Linked DNA regions of Macaca mulatta. The protein of the gene in region 2 binds, or shares a complex with, the protein of the main gene of each other region. Links are inferred from orthologs where the notes say so. Each region holds a gene or a part of one and is shown on either strand. Other genes may lie near its edges. The genes, in order: IRF2BP2, BANP and IRF2BP1.

Evidence for each region.
Region 1: BANP (region 2) and IRF2BP2 share a complex: the UniProt entries of both Homo sapiens proteins name them as parts of the corepressor complex. The link is inferred for Macaca mulatta from reciprocal best matches to the Homo sapiens genes BANP and IRF2BP2.
Region 3: BANP (region 2) and IRF2BP1 share a complex: the UniProt entries of both Homo sapiens proteins name them as parts of the corepressor complex. The link is inferred for Macaca mulatta from reciprocal best matches to the Homo sapiens genes BANP and IRF2BP1.

What each region holds. Positions count from the first base shown.
Region 1 is NC_133406.1:14,466,748-14,474,082, forward strand, and holds the start of IRF2BP2 (interferon regulatory factor 2-binding protein 2), read left to right. Parts: upstream 1-3,513; 5' UTR 3,514-4,205; coding exon 4,206-5,253; intron 5,254-5,850; coding exon 5,851-6,566; 3' UTR 6,567-7,335. UniProt on the Homo sapiens protein: Acts as a transcriptional corepressor in a IRF2-dependent manner; this repression is not mediated by histone deacetylase activities. Represses the NFAT1-dependent transactivation of NFAT-responsive promoters.
Region 2 is NC_133425.1:83,339,254-83,346,471, forward strand, and holds the start of BANP (protein BANP), read left to right. Parts: upstream 1-2,591; 5' UTR 2,592-2,673; intron 2,674-3,362; 5' UTR 3,363-3,376; coding exon of another isoform or gene 3,377-3,397; 5' UTR 3,398-3,434; coding exon 3,435-3,455; exon of another isoform or gene 3,456-3,534; intron 3,535-4,553; exon of another isoform or gene 4,554-4,635; intron 4,636-7,218. UniProt on the Homo sapiens protein: Controls V(D)J recombination during T-cell development by repressing T-cell receptor (TCR) beta enhancer function. Binds to scaffold/matrix attachment region beta (S/MARbeta), an ATC-rich DNA sequence located upstream of the TCR beta enhancer.
Region 3 is NC_133424.1:58,436,980-58,444,296, forward strand, and holds IRF2BP1 (interferon regulatory factor 2-binding protein 1), read right to left. Parts: upstream 4,161-7,317; 5' UTR 3,771-4,160; coding exon 2,016-3,770; 3' UTR 1,607-2,015; downstream 1-1,606. UniProt on the Homo sapiens protein: Acts as a transcriptional corepressor in a IRF2-dependent manner; this repression is not mediated by histone deacetylase activities. May act as an E3 ligase towards JDP2, enhancing its polyubiquitination. Represses ATF2-dependent transcriptional activation.

The DNA.
Region 1 (7,335 bases), on a different chromosome or scaffold from region 2:
TTTAGCATGGTTGCAACATCATGCTATTTAAGGAAACTGCACTCTAAAGAATGAAGGCTATGATTCCACCTCTGGATAGAGGGTGAAAGCCACGGACTCAGCAGTTCCTAGGAATACCATCTATCTCCTGGACAGCACCCACAAGCTGCTGGGGGCATGGGGCTGCACCCTTCCTGCAGCTGCGTATCCTGGGGACAAAGTTCAATAAGGTATTCTTGTAGGAACCGTTTCTTTACACTGCTCTATAGACTGTCAGCTCAGGGCTTCCATGTGTTAGGAGCTGCTTGACTGGAGTAAGCTCTGGAAACCAGATTCAGATTTTAGATGTTTAACGCTCACGCAGTAGAAGCCCATTTCAATCTCGGTGTGGGAAGGTCATATTTGTTCTACCCATTGAGCTATCGCTTACAACTGCTCTCCTAGGTTTGCTTTCCAAGCTACTTCCTTATTCCTGCTTTTCTGATGGTGTCATACTGAATGGCTTTCCTTTTACTCCTAAACTGTATTTTTATTTAAAAAAAAAAAAAACACTCAGAAATTAGAGCTGGAGGTTGGTTTGTCTAGTCTCAGCAGGAGTGTTCTCCATAGAATATTTCCTTTAGTCCTTAAGACAAATTGCAACATTTCAGTGTTCTGGTGAAAAGCCAGCCTCATCCCGCTGCTTCGCCGACACTTGGCCCAGCATCTGCCTGCCTGTCGGTATATGAATGTGCAGGAGCACACTGCAGCCAACCCGGTAACCTTGACTCTGGGTGGCAAAGATGAGCATAATTCTCTTCTGAGAGGACCTGGTGCCTTAAGCAAGAGGGCAGAGTCTACGTGACTAAAACATACCAACTTCCTCTTTCATAAGTCATCACATGATGAACTACAATTACAATTCCTGCCTTGTCTCTGCGAATTGCAGACGCATTGCCTCACCCTAGAAACCCTGCTCCTGTGTGTGGAGGAGGCGGCTGTAACTGCTGCAGCAGCCGCTTTGGACGGGATCCAACTCCAGTCTGTGCCGGGAGGGAACGGTGGGTGGAAGACAAAAACAAAGCTATGTTTACTTAGCATACATCGATAAAGCTGCTTCAGAGCTACATGAAAGGCCAGGCAGCATGAAAGACTTCTGATACAATATAAGGAATTGCTGCCCTGGATCCAGCCTTAACCCCCTTGATTCCAGATCGAGCCCAGAACTAAAATAGCCTTTCCATTTTCCATCGGGCATTTCATTAGGGAAGTTACAACAACTCAGTTTCGACATGAAACTGGCAGTGTAAAGTAAGAAGGAAATGTTCTTCCTTTGGAGAAGAAAAGCTCTGTTCTACAAAGATCTTAGTATCTCTCAAGGCAGAATTTGTATCTCTAATTCTATTTTGGGATGGAGTGGCAGGCTCTCCCTTGAGGCCATTACAGTACCAGCTTGCAGAGAAATGAGTATAATTAGGCCACAGCTCTAATGGTGGGTTGTGTTTTCTTTTAATATGTTTCAGTCAGTGCTTAGTGGGGCCGTCTCTTGGGGGCGTTGAGTTGGTTCATTTCTCTGCAGCACAAGGACTGGACTTCATCCCCTTTGGGCAGTGACGCAGTGGGTGAAGCCATGTGCTGGAATGAGTGTCACAGGGTCTCTGAGGAGGATGACCAAAGGGACAGGTCTTCAAAGTGGTGTGCAACAGCAGGGCCTGGGAGTGACCAAACCCGCTGGCACCAGCTACTCCCGGGAAGGATCTGGGCAGGCCCCGTTCTCCCAGCTTGGAGAGGGTGAGGCAGGATTGCAATTGCAGGGCAAGATCCAGGAACAGATTGAGAGACCTTTAAAGCAAGCGCACCTTCTATGGAAATCCCCAAAAGGCATTCAAGGTTAGCCTGTAAAAACATTTAGGTCTGACATTACGTTTTCTGTGCCATTTTCGAACAGGTTTTTTCATGTGTTTTAAGCAGCTCCCTCCACTGTTTCTCTAAGGGTGTTTTTCCTCTTCCTTGTGGTTAATCCTTTGAAGCAACCTGGTATTTTCAATAGCAACGACTAGAGAGAAACGTCAGCAGGATTTTTTTTTTTCTCTCCACCTACCAATCCAGTTGTAGGAAAGATAATATAATTAGTACCCTGTTCTTCCCACACTTAACCAGCTCATTCCAGTCTCAAGGGAGAGTTGTGGGCCTGTGTTCCCAACAAAAGCAGCCCCAGAGGCCGCCCTTAAAGAGCTGAAGTGTAAAAGTCCCAATTGAAGAGCGACTAAGCCTACGTGTATTAGGGAGACTAACGACCAGCCCAAAGTGATTTACCATAACACACACCAGCTCCTCCTCCCGATAAAAGTGCGAAACTCAAGCATTCAATTCAGTCTGGGCTGAGTCTGAGGCTGCCAACGGTGGCAGAGCTGAAGGCCGCGCGGCTGGGCTGGGCTTACCCCAGCCTGGGTGGCATATAGGGCGCAAGTCTGCCCCCATCGGCGGCCCGCCCTGCGCGACGGCGAGCCAGCCAGCCGGTCGCCCCCACGGCCAGCGGGGACCCCGCGGAGGCGAGCAGGACTTCCCCCCACGACTCGCGCCCGCGCCTCCCGCCACCTCGAGTCCAAGTTCGGGCCCGGGGCGGCGCCTGGACGCCCAGACTCGCCGAAGGGGGTGGGGCCTGCGCTGTGACGCGGTCGCGCTGGCCGTACACCCCGGATCCCTGGAATGTGCATTCGTTCCACGAGGCCCTAGTGCCAGCGGCGCCGAGGCACGTCTGCGCGGAGCGTGCGCACACGCGGCGGCGGCCGCCCACGGTCCCGAGTCCACGTCACGCGCCCGCCGCGCAGACCTACATAAGGCGGCCGGGGCAACTGGCGCGGCGAGGCCCTAGCTGAACAGGGCGGGCTGGACGGGGCTAAGAGCAGCACTTGGTGTTCGCGAGCTGCTAATCCGAACCGCGCTCCCTCCCCTCCAGAGGGCTCCGTGGAAAACGCGCGAGCCAGCTGGCGGCGTGTGCACGTGGTGCTGGGCTTGGGAACATCCAGATTCTCCCTAGTTAGTAAAAGGGGCAGGCGGCGGGTATGTCCTTCCCAAGACAAATGCAAATGCAAAGCACCAGTGACGGATTTCATGCTCTTGTGTCCGACATTGAGCTTTCAAGTATAACTCCTAAAAAACCAGAACTGTGAACCACGCTAGACCTAAAATCCCCATTCTCAGGAGACTGACGGAAACCAAGTGACAAAGTGGCCTTGCATAAAAGAAAAAGAAATGGCTTTTAGCACGATTTGGTCCAGAGGCACACCAGGGGAAAACATCCTGAGGGTGGTCGAGACAGCCGGGTGGGGCGTGAAGTGAGGGAAAGTGGAGGAAAAGCACACGACCACTTTGCGCCGTGTTCCGAGGGGACACCAGCGCTGCGCTGCCGCGCTGCCCCGCGAGCGGGCGGGCGCCACAGAGCCGGCTCTCCCGACAGCGCTCCTTCGGCGCGCAGGGGGGAGGGGAGCGCGCGCGCGGGAGGGCGGGCACGCGCCCGAGGGGAGGGGGCCCGCGCAGGCGCTGTGCGAGACTGTCGAAGAATCAAGTCTGTAGAAGTGGAGCGGCCGCGGCGGCAGCAGCAGCAGCGACGGTGGCGGCGGCAGAGCTGAGGCGGGCTGGCCGCTGACGCTGGCGCTGGAGAGCGGCGACGCCAGGAGCTGTGAGAGAGCGGCGGAGCGACCCGGGGCCTGCGCCGCACCCGAGCTCCACGCCGCCCAGCCGCCGCCGCCCCGGCGCGGCATGCCCCGCCGCTCGGGCTGAGCCTGCCCCGGCGGCCGCCCCCCGCCCCCTGCCCCCCCGGCCTCCCCGCCCCCCGCCCCGCACACTGTGCCGGCCGCCGCCGCGACCTGCTGCGCTCCCCCGCGCCCGCGCGGCCCGTCTTCGCCCCGGTCTGGAGGCCCGCCGCGGCTCCAGCCGAGCCCCCGCCGCCGCGCCCGCCGCACCGCCGCACCGCGCCGCCCGCCCGCGCCCGCGCCGGCCGGGGGGAACTGCTGCCGCGGCTGCAGCCCCTCGCCTCGCGCCCGCCGCCCCTCGTGCACCGGGGGCGCTGCGCGGGCGCCGAGCCTTCGCGGGCTTTGCCGCCGCCGCCGCCGCCTTTGCGGCCGCCGCCGCCGCTGGTGGGGGAGACGCGGGGTTGGGGGGGGAGGAGGGCGCGCGTGGTGCCGGTGGGGGGCGGCGGCGGCGCCCCCTCCTCCTCCTCCTCCGGCGCCGCGGGCTCCTCGGACATGGCCGCGGCGGTGGCGGTGGCGGCCGCGTCCCGGCGGCAGTCGTGCTACCTGTGTGATCTGCCCCGCATGCCCTGGGCCATGATCTGGGACTTCACCGAACCTGTGTGCCGCGGCTGCGTCAACTACGAGGGCGCCGACCGCGTCGAGTTCGTCATCGAGACAGCGCGGCAGCTCAAGCGGGCGCACGGCTGCTTCCCGGAGGGTCGCTCCCCGCCCGGCGCCGCGGCCCCGGCCGCCGCCAAGCCGCCGCCGCTCTCGGCCAAGGACATCCTCTTGCAGCAGCAGCAGCAGCTCGGCCACGGCGGCCCCGAGGCGGCCCCGCGCGCGCCGCAGGCCCTGGAGCGCTACCCCCTGGCGGCCGCGGCCGAGCGGCCCCCGCGCCTCGGCTCTGACTTCGGCGGCAGTCGTCCGGCCGCGAGCCTGGCCCAGCCGCCGACGCCGCAGCCGCCGCCCGTGAACGGCATCTTGGTGCCCAACGGCTTCTCCAAGCTAGAGGAGCCTCCCGAGTTGAATCGCCAGAGCCCGAACCCGCGGCGCGGCCACGCGGTGCCGCCCACCCTGGTGCCGCTCATGAACGGCTCGGCCACGCCGCTGCCCACCGCGCTCGGCCTCGGCGGCCGCGCTGCCGCCTCCTTAGCCGCGGTGTCCGGAACCGCGGCCGCCAGCCTGGGCTCCGCGCAGCCCACCGACCTGGGCGCCCACAAGCGGCCGGCATCCGTGTCGAGCAGCGCGGCCGTGGAGCACGAGCAGCGCGAGGCAGCAGCCAAGGAGAAGCAACCGCCGCCGCCTGCGCACCGGGGCCCGGCGGACAGCCTGTCCACCGCGGCCGGGGCCGCCGAGCTGAGCGCGGAAGGTGCGGGCAAGAGCCGCGGGTCTGGAGAGCAGGACTGGGTCAACAGGCCCAAGACCGTGCGCGACACGCTGCTGGCGCTGCACCAGCACGGCCACTCGGGGCCCTTCGAGAGCAAGTTTAAGAAGGAGCCGGCCCTGACTGCAGGCAGGTTGTTGGGTTTCGAGGCCAACGGGGCCAACGGGTCTAAAGCAGGTAGGGGCGGCTGTGAAGTGAGGGGTTCTAGGGGAGAAAAGGGGACGGAGAGCAGAGGAGGGGTGGTTCTTTCGATTCACCATTTTACCCCAGCTCAGAAACAACAAATACCCCACTTCCTGATCTGCCTGAGGCGGAACCAGTGCTTAGTGGCAACGTGTTCATGTGCTGAAGCAGCATAACAGAGATGAGTCAGACTGGGCTGATACGCTCTGACACGGGGTTTTCCTTTCCCAGCACATTCTTGGATGGGAGCATGAGGGCACTAGTCACCTTTTAACCTATTGCGGGACATTAGCAGTCACATGCCCAGTGCAAACTAGGGTACTTTTGTGCATGTGTAAAAACAGGCAGTTACAAGCCTGCCATTTTCAGTGGCTCCGTTTTATTTTCAGTCTACTGCCTCAGAACCCCACACGCCTAAATGTTTCAAGTTGCGTGTATGTGCACCTGAAACTCGTAGGAGGGTTTTCCGTCTGTGCTTTTAGAGAGGAGGAATTCTGTAACGAGTTTTGTTTCGGGTTAGGAAGGGAAGGATCCCTTCCAGTGCACCGCCATTTATGTTTCCTTTTTCCTTTTATTTCTTTGTGTTTCCAGTTGCAAGAACAGCAAGGAAAAGGAAGCCCTCTCCAGAACCAGAAGGTGAAGTCGGGCCCCCTAAGATCAATGGAGAGGCCCAGCCGTGGCTGTCCACATCCACAGAAGGGCTCAAGATCCCCATGACTCCTACATCCTCTTTTGTGTCTCCGCCACCACCCACTGCCTCACCTCATTCCAACCGGACCACACCGCCTGAAGCGGCCCAGAATGGCCAGTCCCCCATGGCAGCCCTGATCTTAGTAGCAGACAATGCAGGGGGCAGTCATGCCTCAAAAGATGCCAACCAGGTTCACTCCACTACCAGGAGGAATAGCAACAGTCCGCCCTCTCCGTCCTCTATGAACCAAAGAAGGCTGGGCCCCAGAGAGGTGGGGGGCCAGGGAGCAGGCAACACAGGAGGACTGGAGCCAGTGCACCCTGCCAGCCTCCCGGACTCCTCTCTGGCAGCCAGTGCCCCGCTGTGCTGCACCCTCTGCCACGAGCGGCTGGAGGACACCCATTTTGTGCAGTGCCCGTCCGTCCCTTCGCACAAGTTCTGCTTCCCTTGCTCCAGACAAAGCATCAAACAGCAGGGAGCTAGTGGAGAGGTCTATTGTCCCAGTGGGGAAAAATGCCCTCTTGTGGGCTCCAATGTCCCCTGGGCCTTTATGCAAGGGGAAATTGCAACCATCCTTGCTGGAGATGTGAAAGTGAAAAAAGAGAGAGACTCGTGACTTTCCGGTTTCAGAAAAACCCAATGATTACCCTTAATTAAAACTGCTTGAATTGTATATATATATCTCCATATATATATATATCCAAGACAAGGGAAATGTAGACTTCATAAACATGGCTGTATAATTTTGATTTTTTTTTGAATACATTGTGTTTCTATATTTTTTTTTGACGACAAAAGGTATGTACTTATAAAGGCATTTTTTTCTTTTGTTAACGTTATTAGCATATCTTTGTGCTTTATTATCCTGGTGACAGTTACCGTTCTATGTAGGCTGTGACTTGCGCTGCTTTTTTAGAGCACTTGGCAAATCAGAAATGCTTCTAGCTGTATTTGTATGCACTTATTTTAAAAAGAAAAAAAAAGCCAAATACATTTTCTGACATTGTAAGATTGCCTTACTGTCTGTCATTCCTTATTGCTGGCCCCTTTCTCAGGCCGGAGGCCAAGTGGTGGAGAAGGAAAGGAAATGAGTGAACGGGCATGTTGTCAAGTGGGCATGCCACTGGGAAATACCAGTTTACCCTGAAGCATTGTCCTCAGAGGAGTAGGAAAGTAGATTTTGAATCTCTGTTTTGTTCAAAAGTTCAGTTCCTGAGATAACTGATGACTGAGAGTGCTGCTGGGAAATTTTCAGGATTGTGTGGTCTTTTGGGGTTTTTTTTTTTTTTTTTTTTTTTAAAGACAAAGTTGACCGCTGTTCACTGTCCACGTGATCAGTTGTAAGATTACAATGCTGCATGCTAGTTGGTTACATAAGACACAAT
Region 2 (7,218 bases):
GTTAGCCAGGATGGTCTCGATCTCCTGACCTTGTGATCCACCCGTCTCGGCCTCCCAAAGTGCTGGGATTACAGGCTTGAGCCACCGCGCCCAGCCTATATGCCAATATTGAACAGTGTCTTCCTCTGTTTTAGCTTCCAGAGCAGCAAAATAAAAACTAAATTAAAACCATCAAAAACAAAAAAGTGTAGTAGTTCATGCCTGTAACCCTAACATTTTGGGAGGCTAAGACAGGAGGATCGCTTGAGTCCAGGAGTTCAGCCTGGACAACGTATTGAGACCTCTAACTCGACAAAAAACAAAAAAATTAGGCAATGATGGTGGTACGTGCCTGTAGTCGCGGCTACTCAGGAGGCTCAGATGGGAAGCTCACTTAAGCCCGAGAGGTGGAGGCTGCAGTGAACTATGATTGCACCACCACACTCCAGGCTGGATGACAGAGCAAGATCCTGATGCAAACAAAACAAAACAAAACAAAACAAAACAATCGACAACTGCAGCATAGGCACAATCATAGTTTTGATTGGCTTCATTTCTGATCATGACCTAGTCAGCAGTGGCCTTCAACAAATCTCACTGTAGCTTGTTGGATGGTCACAGATAGATTCACCTTTGCCCACAGGTTCCTTCTCCCGTCCACTCACACCTGTTCATGACGCTGGGCCCAGCATTGCACAAGGCCTGCGGATAGGGAAAAGGCAGCTCCAGACACGGACTTGGGGATGTTCTGAAATAACACGAACAACATCACCCTAAGTTGGTCTGTTTTCGAGCCAGATATTCAGGCATGGATGCTAAGAATTCTTACATGGGCAAGTATTAGTATTTGAATGCAGCTGTGATTGAGGTGGAGGTGGAGACAAAAGGCGTGTCTCCCTAGAACATGTTTTGTCCCCACTGCTGGAGGGAATATTCCGTGGCAGCTCCCGCACGCACCCTTTCCCTCCATGTGAGTGGACACCACACTCTAAGCAAGGTGTTCTGTACTGCAAACTCGGCTTGTGCCTCTCTCCAGCCCTGTGGCCTCGCTGGGCAATTTTTCTAATCTCTTTGGAGCCAATCTTCATGTTGAAAAAGGACAGGTCCCATCTTCAGATCGACACCTGTCCCAGTGCTGCCATTCTGTCAAGGCTCCTCCTTGGAGTGTTTGTAAGTCATTTTTACTGCGAAGTAACCCAGCCACCGGCCTCAGGGGAACCTCCGAGCCTAATTCTAGAGGAGACTAACTCGGTAAGGTTGCCCAAGGTCGCATAGCCCATGACTGCACCGAATCCTGTTATTATTATTGGCAAAAGGGAGCTGGGCAGGAAATTCAAGGTAAAGCATTTTGTTTTTCCCAGTGAAAATAGTTCTCTTGCCCTGTGCTTGGGAGATCAAAGGCATTCTTGCTCATTGCAAATAATTCAGAAAACAGGAGTATAAAGAGGAAAATGAAAGGCAAGGTAATTCTAGATAAGCAGAGGGAGATAACCAGAAATGACATTTCTGGGAATTGCCCTATAGTTTGGGAATTTTTTCCTATGATTACCCACAAATGCACATTTATTCTACATAAACGATAACGTGCGCACATTCACGCCATCACTTTTTTATTTTTTTAGAGACAGAGTCTCGCTCCGTCGCCAGACTGGAGTGCAGGGGCGCGATCTCGGCTCACGGCAACCTCCGACTCCCGGGCTCAAGCGATTCTCCTGCCTCAGCCTCCCGAGTAGTTGGGATTACAAGGTGCGCGCCACCAGGCCAGGCATAATTTTTGTACTTTTAGTAGAGAGGGGGGTTTCGCCATGTTGGCCACGCTGGTCTCGAACCTCCACCTCAGGTGATCCGCCCACCTCGGCCTCCCAGAGGGCTGGGATTACTGGCGTGAGCCACTGTGCCCGGCCGCCATCACTTATTTATATTATGTGTTAGCTGTAGGACATATCTAAGACCATGGTCACTGCTGTGCGTGCTAACTCCCGCGCGCGTGCACTCAGGCCCCTCCGGACAGACGCTGGGGACCCCTGACCACTTATGTCTGGGAAAACGCCACCAAGCGCTCCGGAACCTCAGGGCAGGATCCGCCGCAGCAGCAGGCAGGACCCGCTGGGGGCGCACAGCCCACCTGAGACATTGTAACTACAAGTCCCAGCAACCCTTGGTGCGGGGACAAGACGGACGACCGGAGTCCGGAGACACTACAAGTCCCGGCAGGCATGGCCCAGACGAAGGGACTACGAGTCCCCGAATGCATGGCTCCCCGCTTGCGCAGGGCACCCTGGGAGGTGTAGTCGTTGAGGGAGCTAATGCCTATTCATTCCGTCTCAAAGAAGATGCAAATTCCTCACACCGTCCACTGAGGTGATTTTTCTCAGGCAGGCCACGTGCGTGGGCGAAAAACGGGGGGAAAAAACCCTGGGAAGCCGGTACCATCGCGGAAGAAGGCCGCCTGCGCATGCTCACCAGGAGGCCGAGCGGGAAAAGCGCGCGCAGCTGGCCTCGCTGCCCGCAAGGGGCCTCGCCCCAGCCCCGCCCCCGGCCCCGCGCGCCCGGTGAGCCTGCGCAGAGGGCGGGGGCAGAGCGTCGCGGGGAGGGGCTCGCGGCGCCTGCGCAGAGCGGCGGCTTCTCTCGCGAGGACGGACGCCATTATCGCATCTCCCCGACAAACACCACGAGAATTCCGCAGCCCACACGGTAATTGCAGCTCCCGCAGCCGGTCGCGCCTCCGCCTCCCCCTTCCCGCGGGGCGAGAGCGAGAGCGAGATCTCCCTCCTCCCTCCTCCTCCCGCCCGCCGGGCCGCCCGCGCCGCAGCCCCGCCGCCTCCAACCGCCCGGGCCGGGCGAGCGCCCCCCAGGCCCCGCTCCCCGTCCCCGGCCGCGCCCCGGAAGAGGGGCTCCCGCTTCCTCGCTTCCGCACCCCCGGCCCCGCCGCGCCCCGGCGTCCGTTGAGCCGCGGCTGCCGCAGCCCGGCCCGGGGGCCTCGCGCTCCCGACCTCTGCCCCGGGCCTAGCCCCGCGGGAAGGACCCGGGGCCACGGCGGGGAGACTGGAAGGGCCTAGAACCGCGCCCAGGCTCCTCTGGGGACCGAGTCTCCCAAGGGGTCGCTCCTGCTAGCCAGCCGGGAGCGACAGGCACCGTTTTTGTGCCTCCTCCGTGGCTGTGGACTGGAGCCCCATAGCCCGGGACTCGCACATGCAAGTCTCTGGCGAGGCAGCGGAAGGGACGATCCCGGGGCGACCGCCGACCCCGGCGAGGACCCCAGCCCGTCCCCCTAGGGGCCCCGATGAACGAGGACTTCGGGGTGCCCCCTCCCCAGCACGTTTGTGCGATTTCTGTGATCTAGTCCTTAAGAAAGGTGGCCGTTTTTTTTTTTTTCCCCCTAGGATGCAGAAAGTAGATGACATTCCATCCACACTGTGTGAGCAAATTGGAGAGAGTACCTTGATAGAGGACTGATGTTTTTCACTGATGAGATGGTAGGGGTTGCCTTGCTATTGGAGAAATACATCATCCCTGAAGAACTGTGAGCAAGTGGAGCGAGTGTGGGCTTTGAAGGGTAGCGAGCTTGCACCCTGACCGGGGAGGGCGCGGGTCACGCAGTTGTTGATGTGGAACAGATAATTGCCCTGTTTGGAGTTGCCTGTTCTGCCCAGGAACGTACTCCAGGGCCTGATGGCGATGGCAGAACTATAGTAAATAATAAGAGGAGGCAGTCGTAGGGGCCACTTTTAGCTGGAAGTTCTTGGGGGACAGAAAAATAACTTGGAGTAGTGAGTGGTTCTGAGTAAGCTCAGGAAACAGCAAAGAAAAACTGGATCTGGTCATTTAACACGCAGCTCGCAAATAAATATCCTGTGCTAGAAGAAAACACCAAAACGCGGTAAAATTCTGTGTGTAGGTCCACTTCCCGTGTCTGGCAATTAAAATAAGAATATATTCTTGCGATGTTGGATTCTGTCATCATTGGCTTTAGTATTTTTATTTTTTGGAGATAGGGTTTCACTCTGTCCCCGGGGCTGGAATGCAGTGTGGTGATCTTGGCTCACTGCAGCCTCGGCCTCCCTGGCTCAAGTGATCCTCCCACCGCAGCCTCCCGAGTAGCTGGGACCACAGGCACCACCACCCCTGGCTAATTTTTGTATTTTTGTATTTTAGAGGGGGTTTCGCTTGTTGCCCAGGCTGGGGCTTTAATCTTTTTAAAAAAGAGCATCCATTTGTGATCCACGCTGCTTGGGGGCAGCTCAACATCTCGGGTGCTTCACCATGACCCGGGAGGCAGAGGCTGCCCCCACTTTATAGATGAGGTGGCCAGGCCCGCAGACACTAAGGGACTTGCTCAGATGTACAGAGCCAGGGTTCAAATTCAGTCTATTTGAAGCCTATATATTTAGTATTTTAATTAATATAATGTGTACAATAGGAACATCAGTGAAAGACTTACAATGAAAAGCAGTGGTCCCCTGCCCCACCTCTCAGCCCCATTCTTCAAAGAGGTTTACATCTTGAGTGGTTTCTTTAGGTCATTCTTTATAGCTCTAAGTAAGCTGATCTTTTTCATTTTTTTCTTGAGATAGGATCCCCAGATGTTGGCCAGGCCGTACTTGAACTCCTGAGCTCAAGTGATCCTCAGCTTCCTTAGTAGCCGTTAATACAAGTGTGAGTGACTGCACCTAGTTCTAAGCTGCTACTTGGTTTTACACAGCCTTGACTTTCTGTTACGATGGGGTGATGGAGCCCTTCTGTCATATCCCACCTCTTCTATCCCCTGGACTGTGTGTGTCAGGCCTATGTAAATACTGTTCTCTTCACAAATTGAGTGTTTCCCTTCCTGTACAGCATGTTTTTTTTCTGTTAGTCATGGCTTTTCTCTTGGCACTTTCTGTTCCCATCGACTCCTTGCATTGTTTTAAATGATCTCAAGGATAGTGTCAGGTCCCCTTCCTCCTTCAGCCCCTAACCTTTTTCTCATCTGGATGGGTTATTCTTTAGCCTGCAGACGAGCCCACCTGATACTTCTTGCGGCTGGGTGCGTTCAGAAATGTTTTCATCTCGGCTTTGTTCATTTCCACAGGACGCTCTGGCAGGTGCTCTTCCTCTGTGGAGACCCTTCTCCCTCCCTGAACGCTCTTGGATCCTCTCTTTGGTGTTAATGACATTTTACCGTGTGCTGAGGTGTGTGGATTCCTACTCCGGGGACTCTTTGACTCTGGTGCCTTGTCCTTCAGCTCTGGGGAGTTGCCTTGTTCTGTCTGAGAAGTTCTTCCTCTCCAGCTCTGCTCTTCTGTCTTAGGAGTTCCTGTTTGTGATGGACGTTCTAGATGGACCCCTGGAGTTGCATCTTTATCCTTCCTTCTGTGTCTTGTTTATTCTCATTTCTGGGAGAGGGCTTTCATATGTCTTCACAATCAAATTTTTAATTTCCAAGCATGTATTTGTCTTGTTCCTTTTTCACAGTAGCTTATTGTTTTACAAATGCCTCATCTCCATGACTCTAGGGAAACTAATAAGGATTCTTTCCAGTTCCTCTTTGTTCTGATTTCTTGTTTCCACTAATGTCACTTAAAAAAGAGTGTTGGCTTTTTGCTCTGTATGGCAAGTCCTCCTCAAATACTGATATTTACTGTTGTCTGAGGCAGGAGGAGGCTGGCGGAGAGCCCCGGGTCTGTGGGGTGCTTTTGAAAGAGTCCAGTTTTCCCTCGGGTGATTGGGAGCCTGTACTGTGGGACCTGGAGCGCCAACTTGCAGATACTTTCTCTGGGCTGCTCCGCTTCTTTGGGAGCCCCTTTGCTGGCCGTGGGGGAGTTCGCTCTCCTGTGCGGGACCGACTTGGCAGGTGCAGGTTTGGCCTGTCCGCAGGGCTCTGTGAGGCCTGGAGCGCCACGCCTGTGCCCCCGGTGCTTTCCCTTTACCCTGATTGGGTTCTCTGCATCTGTCAGGAGTGTGTTCTTTCTTGTGGGTTTATAACACTCTATTAAAGATGATGTTAATGGGGTGGGAGGAGGTCACCTGTGTGGCCAGTCACTCCCCTTGAGCAGTGGTTTGAAAGCCCGTTCTATTCACCCCGCCTTCCCGCTGCCTCGTGGCCTTGGTAATTGCCCACAGTCGATGGGATAAGGTGCCAAGCCACTGTTCCACAGCCGCCTGCGAATTGCGGCGTGGGCTGGTGGCTCTGGCCCTGTGGCCTTGGAGGGCTGCCAGCGTACCTGGGCAAGGCCTGGCAGACCCGTGTGGTAGCAGAGACCCTGACTTTGGCTCCTCGCTGGGTCAGTGTGCCAAGCGGGTGGTCTGCCCTGCTGGTTTCCAGGAGGGCCTGCAGTGAAGCAGTGGCGAGCGTACTGGGAGCATGATCTTGCTGCCTGGTAGCTGACTGTCACTGGGAAGTTGTGAGTAGTGAGGTGGGCTCTGTCTTCTGTTTGCCAGAGCCTTGCTAGCAGAGCGGTCCAGGGGCCGGCAGCATCCATGTGTCACTTGGGTATTGGTGAGAAACACAGACTTTTCAGACCCCCCCCCCAGGTTCTCATGCAGAATCAGACTGCAGCTTGGTTAGCTTTTAATTTTCAGGTAGTTTTTGACTTTACAGAAAAGATGGAAAAAATATTTCACTGAGCTTCCCTGTTCTCTTCATCCGCTTCCCCTAATGTTGACATCTTATGGAACCAGGCATCCATATAAATACCAGAAAGTTCACAGCATTATTGCCTAAATGACAGACCTTATTCGAACTTCGGTTTTGCACCAGTGTCCTCTTGCTGTTTTGGGATCCCCTCTAGGACCCCACACTTAATGTCCTCCTGTCTGTGATATTTACATAGTCACAAAGTATCTCCCCCAGGATGTACATCACAAAGGGAGAAATAAAATTGTAGCCTCTTGGTGGAAAAACCCAGCAGATATTGCGTGAAGCAAGTGATCAGGGTAACAGCATCAGTCATAAGATGTTGACACCAAGGACCCAGTGAGACACATCACTTCTCTGGCAGTGTTGCCAGAAATGCAGTCTCATCATGAGAAAATGCTGCACCCAACCCGGGGGATGCTCACCACAGTCCTTGCCAGTGCCTCTCAAAAGTGTCCGGGTCTTGAAAGACAGGGAGGCTTAGAATTTCTTGCAGGCAGGTGGCTCGATGATGTGTGCACCGTGGTCCACACGGAAGGGCTTCCCTCAGCCTTGAGGGAGGTGAAGGAGTAGGGGCTTGGGGGCTCCAGGCACAGGTGCTGGGCGGGGGGCCTCAGTGGTCT
Region 3 (7,317 bases), on a different chromosome or scaffold from region 2:
CCCTCCACCCTGGCCCCACCCTGGCACTGGGGGAAGGGGGGCTGATCCAGCCCCCACACCCACACAGGTCAGGCCTTCTGCTCTGTTAATGGTTAACTCAACCTCTATCTAGAATACACACCAGCCAGGCTGGGGGTGACTCCCCTGCCCCCCACCCACTTACCAGCTGTTCTTAAAGGACCAGGTGTCCTCCACAGCAATTTAGCTCCAACTGCAGCATAGGAGCCAGGTGTCTAGAGGCCTCCAGCACTAAAGATTTGGGGATGGGTGAGATACCCAGCACTTGGGTCTGCAGAGCTGGTCAGGGGAAGCCAGAGGCTTGCCTGGGAGGGGAGCCCCGGCACAGAGCTCCATCCAGGTCTCTCTTGCCCTGGGCTTATCACCTGGTGTATTTAATCAGGGGTGGTTTTCCCAGCCCTGCCCTGAGCCCAGGCTGGCAGTGCCAGGGGTGGCAGAACACCTGAGAGCTGACGGCTGGGGGGTGAGGAAGGATGGGACCCCTTAGCCCAAGAACAGAGGGTCCTCCAGATGCGAAAGTTGACGCCCTAGGGATCCCTAATATCTGGGAGTTAGGACATGTAGGTATGCAAGTATGGGTGGGATCCCTGCCTAACCGGGCTGATGGGGCAGGACTTTAGAGGCCTCCAGATTTAGGTGATGGGAACCCTGGGTTCCCGAGGGGATCTGGGGACAACCTCGGGTCCCAGAGCTGTCTGACAGTGCTGGGTGGTGGTAGGACAATCATTCCCTATTTCGGTCCATCCGCGGGCCTTTGAGCCCCGCATTCCCCCTTCCCGGAATCTCTCCACCTCGGCTTGGCTGGGGAGGCCGCAGGGGTGGGGGCTGGGCTCTTGGGGCCGCCCCCTCCCCTTAACCCCTGCTTTGCCGCAGCCCGCTCAGGCCCCGCCCCGTGACGCCAGCGAGCAGGAAGTCCTGGTTAATGATCAGCCACCCGGACAGGTGCGGGACAAGGCCGCGCACATCAGAGGCAGCCGCGGGGCGAGTGCCTTTCGCTCTGCTCTCTAGGGTGGCCGCCGAAGGGGCTTGTCTCCCGACACGAGGGCGAGGAGTCCAGTTGTGGCTTCCCAAACGTCCGCCTCTGGGGCACCACCAGAGGCGAGAAGTAGCCAAGTTGTTTCTAGGCATCCTGTTAGTTTACCCCGTGGAGGTAAATTTCCTCTTTCCTCAGGTAGTCCCTCTAGCAGTCTACCCTAAATTCTCCCTTCTACTCAGCAAGAACCCCCTGCCCGTTTCTTCTAGGAAACCTCCCTCTGCCTCTTTCCCCTCCCCACGTAGGCGCTGAGTCCTCCACCTTCCAGGTAGAGATAGAGAATGGGCCAGCTACAGAAGGGTAATCTACTCCCGAGACTGTCTGTGGTTCCCCTACAGGAGCCATCCCCTCTCTGAGCCTCAGTTCTTTCATCTGGAGAACGGGCCGATGGCTAAAACGTGAGCAGTGGGTCGCACTTGCAGAAGGTCGGCCGGCGGGACGGCCTGGGTGCAGGGCGCCACCTGGAGGCTACCGCGCAACGTCTTCGCCCTCGCAGGACTAGTTCAGTCCCAAAGGGGGCGCAGCATCTCACACAACCAAGGGACCAAGAAGAGAGAAAAAAAAAAACCAACCCATCTTTCGGTTTATTGAAGGAGCAGAAGGGGGCGGGAGAGGGGAGCAATAAAATGCTTTTGCCTCGTTTATAAAGAGCGAATTTTCAGGAGGTCCCTTCTCAAGGAGGAGGGGGGCACCTCTTCCCCAACTACAAGCAGCAGCAAAGCCAAGCCAAGGACAGAGGGAAACTGGAGGGGCCAAGGGACCCCAAATATCCCCTCGGACAGGAGCCACAAGCTTTCTCCCCCCACCCACAATGCATCTACCCCAGGGGACCCATCTGGGTGGAGGAAGGGAGTATGTACACAGATAGGGGTGGCACTGGGCTGGGTCGGGGAGGGAATAATTTATCCGCGTCAGCGGTGGATGGCAAAAGGGCAGAGGGCAGTAGCCTGGAGGCAGTGGTAGCCTAGGGGTCCCGTTCTTTCTTAACCTTGATGTCTCCAGCAAGGATGGTGGCGATTTCGCCCTGCATGAAGGCCCAGGGCACGGAGGAGCCGACCAGCGGGCACTTGTCTCCGCTCGGGCAGTATACCTCCCCGGCCGGGCCCTGCGCCTTGATGAACTCCCGGGAGCAGGGAAAGCAGAACTTGTGTCCGGGCACCGAGGGGCACTGGACGAAGTGGGTGTCTTCTAGCCGCTCCCTGCACAGGGTACAGCACAGGGGAGCCCCAGGGGTCGCCCCAGTGCCGCCGCCACCCCCGCTGACAGCTTCGGCCCCCGCTGTGGGACTGACTTCTGCTTCACCGTTGCGGGCCACAAGGCGATGCTGGGTTGGCGGCTGGGCAGTGGAGGAGGCTGCAGGGCTGGCGCCCCCTGGACGCACAGGCCCTCCACCTCCGCCAGGGTCCTTGGGTGAGTGGCCCAGGGCTTCGGCCACATTCTTCAGGGCGGCAATGGGCGAGGGCACACCAGGGGTCTCAGCGGAGTACGGACCTCCAGGTGCCACCCAGTGCCGTTGTTGCTGCTCCTCGGTGGTCATCTTCCCAGTCGCCTCGCCCTCCGGCTCGGGGGATGCCTTGCGACGGCGCGGCGTGGGCGCCAGGTTCCGGGATGGGGCTCGCGGTGGTGGGCCACAGAGAGCCGCAGGGGCAGGCTCTGGGTACTGCTGGGGCAGGGCCTCCGCGGGAGCTGGCTCGCGAAAGCTGCGGACGCCGTCGGTAAGCAGCTCGCCCAGCTGCCGCCATTCTCCTGAGCCATGCCGGCGTTCATATTCGAGGTACTTGAAGCCCGAAGAAGCCAGTGCCTTGCCCGGCTCCCGCAGAGCATCGTGGAACATCTGGCGAGCCACCGCCAGGACGCCGGCATACACATTGCCGGAACCACAGGGGTATTCGGTGAAGAGCTTCAGCTCGAATTCGTATCCTGGAGGACGGGCAGCAGCATCGAAGGCGAACACTCGCCCCACCAGCCCGTGATCCTTCTTGAAGCGCACATTGAACGGGGCGCAGGCGGACAGCGCCAGTAGCTGTTCCCGCACTGCTTTGGGGCGCCCGTGCCATTCCTCTGCCCGGCCCCGCATGGCCTCGTTCAGTTCTGCCAGACAGTCCGCATTCCTCTGCTGCTTCTCTTTCTCGAAATCGGAGCCGAAGAGGGGACGGGCAGGACTCAAGCCGGGTGCCAGCGTCAGGCCTCGGCTTCCCAGGCCAGACACTGCAGCTGCCAGCAGCCCAGGGGGCATCAAGCCAGGCATGGAGCCAAGCAAGGCCCTTCGCGCCCCCTCAGCCACGGCCTCCTCACGGCCCAGCCCATTGGCCAGGCGGGACCCCAGAGTGTACTCCAGGGCGGGCGAGGGCAGGGGGAGGCGGCCCGATGATGTGGCCCTGTCATAGCGGTCCTGGCCTGAGACGCCGCCGCCGGTCCCTGACGGCTGGGGCTGGGCCTGCGGGGGCGGCAGCTGGGGCCCCTGTGCGGCGGCCGCAGCCAGGTCCTTGGTGGCCGGGTGCTTAAGGGCCGGGGGCCCGGGGGAGCGGCCCTCGGGGAGCACGTGGCTGCGCTTGAGCTGGCGGGCGGCATCGATGAGCAGTTCGATGCGGTCCGCGCCCTCGAAGTTCACGCAGCCGCGGCACACGGCCTCGCTGAAGTCCCACACCATGGCCCACGGCATCTTGGGCAGGTCGCACAGGTAGCACCACTGGCGGCGGGACGCCTGCACAGACGCCATGGCCCCAGTCCGCGCGCCGCCCGGCTCCCGCGTTCCACCGGCCGCCGACGTGCGATCCGCGCCGCCGACGTTCGATCCGCGTCCCCGGGACAGCGCGAGCCACGGTCCGGCCTCCGGCTCGGCCTCCCCGCCGGATCCAGGCCCGGCCCCCCTTCCCCGCCCCCTGGGCCCTAAGCCTTTCTGCTCACTCCCGCCTCCCTCGCAAAGGCAGGCTGAGGCACGTCGGCGCCCCCGCCCGGTCCGGGCTCCGAGCCGAGGCGCACAGCTCGGGCCCCACGATGGGCCGCGAGCGCAGCCGCCTCGGGCTCCCGCCGCTCTCGCCGCCGCCGCTGCAACGGCCGCCGCCGCCTCCACCTCCTTCTTCTGCCCCAGAGGCCGCTTCGCAGGGAAAGTTACATAACGCGCCAGCAAAGCCTTCTGGGAAACGTAGTCCCGCCGGGGCCGGCTCTTAAAGGGAACGGCGGGCAGAGGCGGGCTGGGGGGGTCGTCGCCTCTCCGCGCGCAGCACTTATAACCGTCTCCGCGGGGCCGGAGTTCGGCGCGCCGCAAGATGCTGGGACACAAAGGTGGGAGGCGAGTTTGCAATACGAATGATCAGAGCTACTCCGGATTCAGAAATTTTGGGGGTGGGTGGACAGGCTTCCAGGATTCCAACTTCTGCTCCGATTTGTTGTGCAGCTTTAGGCAAAATGTCTTGCCCTCTCTGAACCTCAGTTTCCCCGCCCAGCAAAGGTGGGCCAATGACGGATTAGGAAGGTAGCAGCTTCTGGGGCGGGGCGGAGAAGCCCTGATTGGCTTCAGAGCAGGGAAGGGAAACTGGCAACTAGGTGGGGGTGGGGGTGGCCACTTGGCACTTCGTCCTCCCCCGGAATCCTAGATGTATGCCTCTGGGGCCCGCCACAGCCAGCGAAGGGAGAGGACTAAGGGCTCCGGAGCCAGAGCCTTGCCTCAGTTTTCTCTGCTAAAGAAGGGGGGCGACTGACCGCCCTCTAACCCTGTCCCAGCTCTGCCCGCGCGCTCTGGTCTCTAAAGGGTTACACCGTCGGCTGCTCGGCGTCCTCCACCCGCTTCACTACAATTCCCAAAATGCACTGCGGACGCGGACAAAGTGACGTGCTTCCGCCGCCTGGGAGGTTGGGGTAGGCCTTTCAGATTCACGCTGCTTTACCCGCGCCCCCCCCAACCTTTCTGGGGGTTCTTTACGTGCATTCGGAGCATGGCGTTTGGGGGACCCTTATCCTCTGTTGCTCCCCAATTTGAGGGAAGAGTAAGGGGTTAAGAAGTGACGGGCAAGAGGAAGGAGTTGCTGGGGAAGGGCGAACACCAGACTACCTTTCCCCAACCCTGAGCGCTCACTACCTGCAAGGCCCAATCAGGCTTTGAGGACCCTCCTGTCTTCTTTCCCAGGCATTGGGAACACGACGGGGCTGTCTTTGGGGAACGGTGGAGGCGGGTCTCCAGGTTCTAACCCACAACAGCCCCTTTCTCTAGGCCTGGGTCCATGTTAGGTGCTCAAAGATACTTGAATGATGTGCCAGTTGGCCCTGGTTTTCAGTCTAGTGAGGGGCTGCTTGTCCCTTCTCCCGTCCCACTGGAACCGCATCAACTCTGATTCTGTTACCCAGACTTCACAATTTCAAAATGGTTTCACAATTTTGTCTACTACCTGTATTTGAACACTTTTCTCCCTTAAAAAAAGATTTATTAGGCTGAGGTGAGAGGATTGCTTGAGTCTGGAGGTAACAGGCTGCAGTGAACCATGATTGCGTCACTGCACTCCAGCCTGGGCAACACAGCAAGACCCTGTCTCAAAAAAATAAATAGAAATAAAAAGATCTATCTATTTTTACCTCATCCTAGGTAATACGTTCACAATCATGGGTTTCATCTACTGGTTAGCTTAAAAAAAATCAGTGAAAACTATCGACTAATTCAAGAAGACATTCATATGTCACTTAAAATTGCCTTTGGGCTATTATTTACGAAACTCTAAAGGGAGTTAAGACTTCTGGCCAGATTCAGCCTTCAGGTGGACTGGACTGGCCTCTGACCAGCTGTGGCCTTGGGCAAGTCTCTAAACTTCTTGGAAAAAATGGAGACCCCCTCCAGTCTGTTTTTATTTGGGTACCTTCAGATTGAATGCAAACACGCATATAAATGCTTAGCTTGGTGCTTGGCACAGAAAAGTGCCACAAGTGGAAGTTGTTTTTAAGCTGGACAGTTATTCAAATATTCAGCCCCTCTTCCGTGGTGGGCAATGCTGGGGACATAGCAGCTGAGACAGGCTTAAGCCTTGCCCCTGAGAAGCCCCAGCCTGGTGATGGAGGCAGATACTAAATTTACTCAAATGATGAACTAAAATTTGTGATGACTGCTGTGGGGAGTGTGTGTCTGGAAAAGCTTTCCTGGCCAGGCATGGTGGCTCATGCCTATAATCCCAGCACTTTGGGAGGCCGAGGAGGGCGGATCACTTGAGGTCAAAAGTTCGAGACCAGACTGGCCAATGTGGTGAAACCTTGTCTCTACTAAAAATTAAAAAATTAGGCCGGGCGGTGGCAATGGCTCACTCCTATAATCCCGGCACTTTGGGAGGCCTATCACTTGAGGTCAGGGGTTTGAGACCAGCCTGGCCAACATGGTAAAACCCCATCTCTACTAAAAAATACAAAAATTAGCCAGGTGTGGTGGCGCACACCTGTAATCCCAGCTACTCAGGAGGCTGAGGCAGGAGAATTCCATGAACCCAGGAGATGGGTTCACACCACTGTACTCCAGCCTGGGGGACAGATGCAAGACTCCATCTCAAAAAAAAAAAAAAAAAACTAAGTTAAAATAAAAAAATTAGCCAGGAGTGGTGGCATGCGCCTGTAGTCCCAGCTACTTGGGAAGCTGAGGCAGGAGAATCACTTGAACCCAGGAGGCAGAAGTTGCAGTGAGCCAAGACTGTGCCATTGCACTCCAGCCTGGGCAACAGAGGGAGACTCCATCTCAAAAAAAAAAAAAAGTATAATCTAATTATAGGAAGAAAGACTCTGAGATCTTTATGCCCATTCTACAGGTAAGGACACTGGAAGTCAATGGTTACACGGTTGGCCAGGGCAGCACCAGCACTTGAGCCACGTCTGAGTCCAGAGTGGTGGTGATTACCTATTTTGTTACCTGGCCCTGCAGCAGAGTAAAAGAACCAGTTCCTGCCTTCATGACATTATGGGGCAAATGTGCCTTAAATAGATAAAGGCCTGTGTTCATTTAAAGACACTATGAAAAAGAACCCAGCTGTGTGTGGTGGCTCATGCTTGTAATCCCAGCACTTTGGGAGGCTGAGGTGGGAGGACTGCCAGAGCCCATGAGTTTGAGATCTGCCTGGACAACATAGGAAAACCCCATCTCTAGAAAAATAAAACAAGTAGCTGAGTATGGTGGCACATGCCTGTGGTCCCAGCTACTTGGGAGGCTGAGGTAGGAGGATTGCTTGAGCCTGGGAGGTCGAGGCTGCAGTGAGCTGTGATCGTGTCACTGCACTCCAGCCGGGGCAACAGAGCGAGAT